2 linked regions of the Bombyx mori genome follow. The protein of the gene in region 2 purifies or fractionates together with the protein of the main gene of each other region. This does not show direct contact. Links are inferred from orthologs where the notes say so. Each region holds a gene or a part of one and is shown on either strand. Other genes may lie near its edges.

The links.
Region 1: the proteins of sarcolemmal membrane-associated protein (region 2) and programmed cell death protein 10 purify together in Homo sapiens (affinity purification with mass spectrometry; 3 studies listed by BioGRID and IntAct, counting the BioPlex papers as one, with this or other methods). This does not show direct contact. The link is inferred for Bombyx mori from reciprocal best matches to the Homo sapiens genes SLMAP and PDCD10.

What each region holds. Positions count from the first base shown.
Region 1 is NC_085110.1:8,725,734-8,729,844, reverse strand, and holds the start of programmed cell death protein 10, read right to left. Parts: upstream 2,801-4,111; 5' UTR 1,983-2,800; coding exon 1,911-1,982; intron 1,314-1,910; coding exon 1,136-1,313; intron 970-1,135; coding exon 837-969; intron 514-836; coding exon 352-513; intron 1-351. UniProt on the Homo sapiens protein: Promotes cell proliferation. Modulates apoptotic pathways. Increases mitogen-activated protein kinase activity and STK26 activity. Important for cell migration, and for normal structure and assembly of the Golgi complex.
Region 2 is NC_085114.1:11,202,830-11,206,329, forward strand, and holds part of sarcolemmal membrane-associated protein, read right to left. Parts: intron 3,448-3,500; coding exon 3,229-3,447; intron 1,985-3,228; coding exon 1,835-1,984; intron 714-1,834; coding exon 612-713; intron 448-611; coding exon 295-447; intron 1-294. UniProt on the Homo sapiens protein: Associates with the striatin-interacting phosphatase and kinase (STRIPAK) core complex, forming the extended (SIKE1:SLMAP)STRIPAK complex.

The DNA of each region.
Region 1 (4,111 bases), on a different chromosome or scaffold from region 2:
CGGTTTTTCTTAGTGCCAAATTATGATGAAGCGGCGTGCATAGCAATAGGAATATGTCTCAAGTCGGCGCACACTTGCCACTTTTTCGTACAAAACGTGTTGTTTTAGTGATCGTTGGGATTCACAAGGTGTTGCATAGTAGTTACTGCACCTTATCTTTCGTTAAAATTAGCAAATGTATGTGATTCGGTAGTAAGTAAATAATTTTTATCTTTTTCTTTGTGTGCCGCCAAATTTTGAAATAGTTAAATATGTGCCGCAACAAAAAAAAGGTTCAGAATCACTGCTCTAATGCAATAAAAATAAAAAACAATGGATCTCCGATTGTAACTAATTGACATAAATACTCACTGTCCTTCTTTAAAGTATTCTTTGAGTGTAGTAGAAAATCGCTTTGAATATTTTACAAATTCTCTTTTCCTCTGTTCTAATACTTGCTTCCCAGGACCTGGAGTATATGTAGATACCTCATTTACAGCATCCAGTAATTTTTTTATGGCAGAGGCTATTTCCCTGTTAAATTATATACTATGGTTATTACAATGTTGATTATTATATCAACGCTTGAAAGGCAAATGTGACTAAGCAATAATAACTGCTTTGTACATAAATGATAGGCAATAACCATATTTAATGCGTAAAAAATATATATTTCTAGGTATATTAAAAACATTTCAATCCTACAGCTAGATTCATTAAAATTGAATTTTTTTCAGGTATTTCAGCTTTAAATTGGTCTACTGTAAAGTACACGCATTGTCACTTAGTCATGTTTGCCTTTCAAGTGTTGATATATTAAAGAATACAACCAATATTGCATTTTCTACAGCACATACTTGATAGTCTCAAGAAAAGTCTTCCGATCAGTTATCTCATCTGGAATGCGACTCAGTATCTTTTTCAAAGCAGCAGATTTCTTATTAAGCTCCTGAAATGCCTCTTCAGTCCTGTTCAGCCTTAAATCAGTACCTATAAACAGAACTTTCTTGAGATTACATTGTAAAATCGTTTGTTTTTTAATTTTGTCTTTATCGTTTTATTTCTGAAAAATGGTCAGTTTTCATAACTTGAAGGTTTTTTAAATAGTATCATAAACTTGTAAGTTAACTAAATACAAAAAAATATAAATTCATACATTCTGAATCTGTGAGACTCCCTTGTAATCTTAATAAGCTCTCATTCATATTAACAGGAATATCTGCTCTCCTCATGATTCCTGCCACCAAATCATAATTAAGACCAGGTACTGCAGCCTCTGCTTTGGTGAGAGCTGCTCGTAATGTCTGAGAGGCAGCCAGATCATATTTCTCCAGCTGAAAACACATTTTAAAACATACTTTAGGTGGGAAAATAATATTAATAATAGTCTATCTGGCTATCGACTTTGCTTGGGTCGACAAAATACATACTACTATTAATACTTACCTTTCCTATAACAGTACTACTATTTTCACCATTTTCATCCTTAAATTCCTATAATTTTGCGTCTATTTGCTACCTAATCTAAGACGACATTGATCAAAATGAACACACATGTACCATTTTATTTTTCCCAAGAAATAACAATGTCTGCTTTATCTTGCTCTGTCAGTTATCCTGCTCGGATAACTTTTTGTATCAGGCAATTGAGACTTGAAGTTTAGGGCAACAGTATTCATGATATTTTTTCTAAGAACTCCAGTAACCAGTAACAAAATATGAATAAAGTTATGAAAGCAATATTACAGTGGTTTCTTTATTATTAACGACTGTAAAACAAAAGATACAAGATCAATTCATTTTATTAATTCTGATATTGGGTCTTGTTGAGGTTACCAAGAAACTAGTTGATAGTTAAGTTACCTTGATTAGAATGCCTAAAATGATAAGGTCATATTTTAATACATGTAAGTAGATTTAGAACGACTCACCTGCGTTAGGACAGGGCGAATTAAAACTGGTAATACCAAAGAAGTCACAGGCAATTCATCGCCCATTGTCATTGTGATAGTTTAAATATTTCAATTTATCTAAGAAATTTATAAAACCCCAATGATTGTAGGCCAGTAACAATCAGATAAAAACAGTTTAATTAATGAAGGTAAATTTTGTAATCATTGGTGACAATTTGAGAAATATGTCAAGTGGTAGTACTTCCCTTTTTCTAACTGGAAAGGCGAAAGTATCACCTTACAACCAAATTGTTCCTTTTTTATGAAAAATGAAGAGAACGAAATTAAATTAATTAATTTGAAATATGAATCAATTAGGATGAAAGTAAATGAAACAAGATGAGTTGGGATGAAGTATAGTCTGAGTGATATGGTTATTTACTGAGACTTTTTGGAAGATCCTGGGAAACTACACCCAGCACGGCGCCGCGGCGGCTTTGTTTCATTTTTCCACATTTTTGCCCTTTCACGGGTACTAAACATTTAATAAACCACTGCTATTACACATTGAAACCCAAAGAAAGACTAATTTAATAAATAAAACAATTCACACAACTTCTCGCCCCGCGTTCCCGCCAAAAGTCAAACAACGTGAACGTATTGAATTTTCTTGTTTGATTAGTCCATTGTAAACGAAATGTAAGCACCTACAGCTAAATCCTTTGTACTTTGAAAATTACAAGAAAATATCATAGGCATAGTTTTTAGGGTTTTCATGAAAAGACCATGACAATACAACTGACGCATGGCTTTAATATTTTAATATTTAATAAAAATTTAGGAGTATGATCAAAGTTTCTTTGCCTCTTCACCAGATCAATAAAAAAAAAATACGATTTCACTCATTGAACCACAGATTGAGAGAGGCGGGAACCTTCAAAAAATTTGGGACGGAACTTGAGAAGAGGGCCAATTAAAAAATTCATATCCTTTTTAACTAATTTAATTTGATATTCTGTAGATATTGTAGCATATTTTAGTTTATAACTGTATATATGTTTAGTTTATAATTGTATATTTTAGTACTTTAGCGTAGATAGTATGGAGTTGGAGGCGGGAACGGATCCCCCGGATCCGAATATTACTGAGGAGACAACTGATACGACTAACTCAAGGTTTAGCCAACCAATATTTTTCTGTGATGAGTTCGACCTTTCCAACGTATCTGAATTTGTCAACGTTAAATCGAAGAAATCCCAAAAAAAGAAACTTGTTAATTCTTTTAAACCAAAGATCTCGGACAAACAACTTTCGTTGCGCCCGCTGCAGCAGGCTTTGGCGGGAAATCTTGCAAATAACGTAAATAAGCTTATAGTGCCTCCTCGCCAAATTGTACAGACCTCACCAGAGCCTACTTCAGCGAGTCCTTCTATGACACCATCTGAGACCCCAATGGCTGACTCTGTTTACAGAAAAAAATACACTGAACAGGATCCTGGTCCATATATGGTCCATGTTACTTTAATCTCAGATTCTAATAGTACTACATCACTGCACCCACTTAAATTTGGAAATTTTCTAAAGAAAAGCAATCTTGGTAATATCTTACAGGATGGAATTAAACGAGTAGGTCGTAATCGCCTGGCAATAACTTTTAAAACACATAGTGATGCCAATATTTTCATATCCAACATGTCTATGAATCCATTGTGATTCCAGTGATTCCTACATATAATATATGTAAAATGGGTTTGATAAAGGGTATCCCTCAGGAGTGGACTCATGAGGACATTGTAGACAATCTGCAAATCCCAGAAGGCTATGGACAAATTATCAAATCCCGTAGATTAAACAGGAAGTCTGTCAACTCAGATGGAACTTCATGGATTCCTACTCAAACTGTGGTCTTGACTTTTGACGGACAGTCTCTTCCCTCTAGAGTGTATTCCTTTTTTTCAAGTATTCCAGTTGAACAGTATATTTATCCAACGGTACAATGTTTCAATTGTTGTCGCTTTGGACACACTCGTGTTCAATGCAGGAGCAAACCTAGATGTAATAAATGTGCTGGAGAGCACAGCGGACTGGCTTGTAATACTGAGACTTTTTCTTGTGTTAACTGTAGAGGTGAACATATGGCTACAAACAAATCTTGCCCTGAGTTTAGTAGACAAACAAATATTAAAAAACATATGTCTCAAAACCCCATTTCATACCAAGAAGCCTCTAAATTGTTTCCT
Region 2 (3,500 bases):
ACCGGGCCACTCCCGGTTTGAGCCCCGTGAGCTCACCTACACGTTAGGGCGAAGCTGAAATAGCCTCTCAAGGCTATCAGCATAGGTAGGAAAAAAGGTAATGAACTATGTATAATAACGCATCTTATATAAAAATTTAAACCTCCGGAACTATTTTAATCTCAATTTTATTGGTACTACCCCAAGAAAAACCATTGAAAATTTGTGTTATATTTGGAAAGGGCCCCGATTCCCCCCAAACTACGGTACCCCGCATCAGTAACAGTACAGTAAGGCCATTATGAGCTAGTATACCTTATTCAGTAGTTGTTGCGGCAGCAGCATCTTGACGTAATCAGGAAGGGCCCGGACGGCTTCCTCGAGGGTGGCGCTGCGTTTCGGCTCCTGTAGCTTGTTGCTGTCCGTACTCAGCACCAACATCTTCGTCTCGCCGTTTTGTACTGAATACTGGTAGAAATATATTTTAAGAGATAAATCAATACGTCATCATCATCATTCTCCTGCCCTTCTCCTATTTAGAACAGTGTAAACTATTTATCAACACATACATTGCGAAAATATATCTGATAATTATTATTATTTTTGTTTATGGATAAGTTTAATGTACTCACAGCGAGAGGTAGTTGGCTCCTCACAGCTTTCTCTCGTTCTTCGGCGGCTGTGATGGCGAGCCGCGCCGCGCACATCTTACGCTCGCATCTCGCTGCCAGCTTCTGTAACCACACACCAGATTTAATAGCAGTGCATTTCTATATTCAACGTTTTTGTTTTCAAACACTACATAATATGAGATTGCGGCATATTTCAATGGTAGGTTTGGTTGATGTTCAACCAGCGTTTCCCAACCTTTTTTGTGCCATGCCCCATGTAACATTTCTAAAATTTGTATGCCCCCCATACATAATTTTTAACATTAAGCAATTGATTTTTTCGCTTAAGAAACATAAATGACAGGTTTTAGGAAGAAATCACTATCAAATTGTTATCAAAACATAGTAACTAATATTTCAAAACATATAATCTAAAATTGAAATTCAAATTCAAAGTAATTTTAATACAAATTTTCTATATTCATTTAGTGCGATTACTCCCTATATTATCAAATTGTCACCTTATGGGGCCTGGGCCCCAAGTTGGGAAACACCGTGTTGAACACCGGCAGGTACGAAGTACTGTCTATATCTACCGTGAAGTGTTCTCACGTTTTGAAGAGCGAGACAGTACAGCTGGGATTTCGACTTTACATCACGAGGTGGGTGGCGGTTGTCTGCGGTGGTGCACCGATAAACAAAGAGTGATCTTCGTTTTTATCATCCCAACGCCTGCCACCGGAGTAGAATTCATCCGTGCTACCTGGAGCCGTTACGCTCATCCACAGTGCGTTTCCAGAGATCTTTTTTGCCACGTACCATCCACGGTGTTCCCAGAGCGCTATGACATGTCCTTCTTCAAACGAGGCTTGTGGAGAGTACTTAACGGTAGGCAGCGGCTTGGCTCTGGCATTACTGAAGTAAATAGGGCGACGGTAACCACCCACAATCAGGTAGGCGGTATGCTCGTTTTTTTTTTTTAATGCTTATATGTTTGGACGAGCTCATAGCCCACCTGGTGTTAAGTGGTTACTAGAGCCCACAGACATCTACAACGTAAATGCGCCACCCACCTTGAGATATAAGTTCTAACGTCTCCAGTATAGTTACAACGGCTGCCCCACCTTTCAACCCGACACGCATTACTGCTTCACGGCAGAAATAGGCGGGTACCTACCCGGGCAGACTCACAAGAGGTCCTACCACCAGTAAGTCGTCTGCCTGCAACGGCAATAAATAGTGACCTGCAGCTCGGCGAGCGCGTTGTTGGCGGCGAGTCGCAGCGCACAGTTGTGGTGGTGCAGGGCGGCCGCCTCCCGACTGCGTCGCTCTAGCGACTCCTCCAGCGCGAGCCGCTGCTCGTGCGCCGCTCGAAGACTTTCCTGCGCCACTTTCTGTAACACGAAACAATATTTCTCAAGCTTAAGGCATAACGTCTTAACGTAAGGCATAACGTTAAGCGGTAAGCAGCGGCTTGGCTCTGCCCCTGGCTTTGCTGAAGTCCATGCGCGACGGTAACCACTCCCAATCAGGTGGGCCGTAATAAAAAATAAATAAAAAAAAGGACAGGAAGGTTGCTGGTCACAAATGCCATATGACCCCGAACTTGTATTCCCTGAACTATGGCAACCAAAAACAAATATATGTGTACGTTTAAAAATAGACATATACGGATATTAATCAGACACGGGACAAATAATGCTGTTCATACCAAAAACGTTTGCCCAATGCGGGAATCGAACCCACGACCCTCGGCCCAGCGCCAGAGGTGTTAGTTAATGCACCACCGAATCAGTCAAAACGATTTCCAGTTTGGAAGTGGAGACAAACATATACATCTTTTGGAATCAGCTTACTGAACAGGGTTCGCTGATATATATCAGAAGTAAGTACACAAGTACAAGTGCATGAAAACTAGGTATATGCATTTTTTTTAAATTAAACTTTCCAAATTTCAACAGTTCTAATATTTCATAATATGCCTACTGTTTAGTAGTAAGTCTGTGTGTAAGACGTTTCTACGTATAAAATAACGAACATCTTAAGAAATAATAGCGACGGTGGAATCGCAGATCCAAATAATGAAATATAAATTTGACATATATTCACGAAAACACTTTAATAATGAACGAATATCATCGTGTAATAAAAATTTAATTCGCAGTAATTATAATTCGCATTTCTTACTACTGAATTAAGACAGAGACCACAAATCCCACCAACGTAAAAACGAAGACTTTAGAACTCATATCTTAAGGTAGGCGACGGCATTAACATTGTTGATATCCATGGGCTCCAGTAACCACTTAACGTTCACACAATCTAAGCAATTAAATAAGGCCAAATTGAAAATTTTCACTTTACAGATTTTTTTATTGCTTATATGGGTGGACGAGCTCACAGCCCACATGGTATCCAGTGGTTACTGGAGCCCATAGACATCTACAACGTAAATGCCGCCACCCACCGTGAGACATGAGTTCTAAGGTCTCAGTATAATTACAACGGCTGTCTCGCCCTTCAAACCGAAACGCATTACTGCTTCACGGCCGAAATAGGCAGGGTGGTGGTGTACCAACCCGTGCGGACTCACAAGAGGTCCTACCACCAGTCGATAGTTGTTGACAGTTGTTGATACCTGATAGTTCCTCTTGTCGTTGAGTAGCTGCGTGAGATGTTGCTCGTCCGGTTGCTTCCCGACAGACAGCATGGACTCGAGAGTGTGCACCCGCATTAGAAGTCGTTGTTCGCCCACAAACAACTCCCACGAGGCCTGCGCTTCTGCTCTCGTGCGCTCCACGCACTCGCGTAACGTGCGCAAACGATTCTCCAGGGACGCCTCGCGTTGTATCGCCTCCTGGAAGGAGTACAGGCAAATATTTATGTTAGCAACTATAAATCGTGTACGTA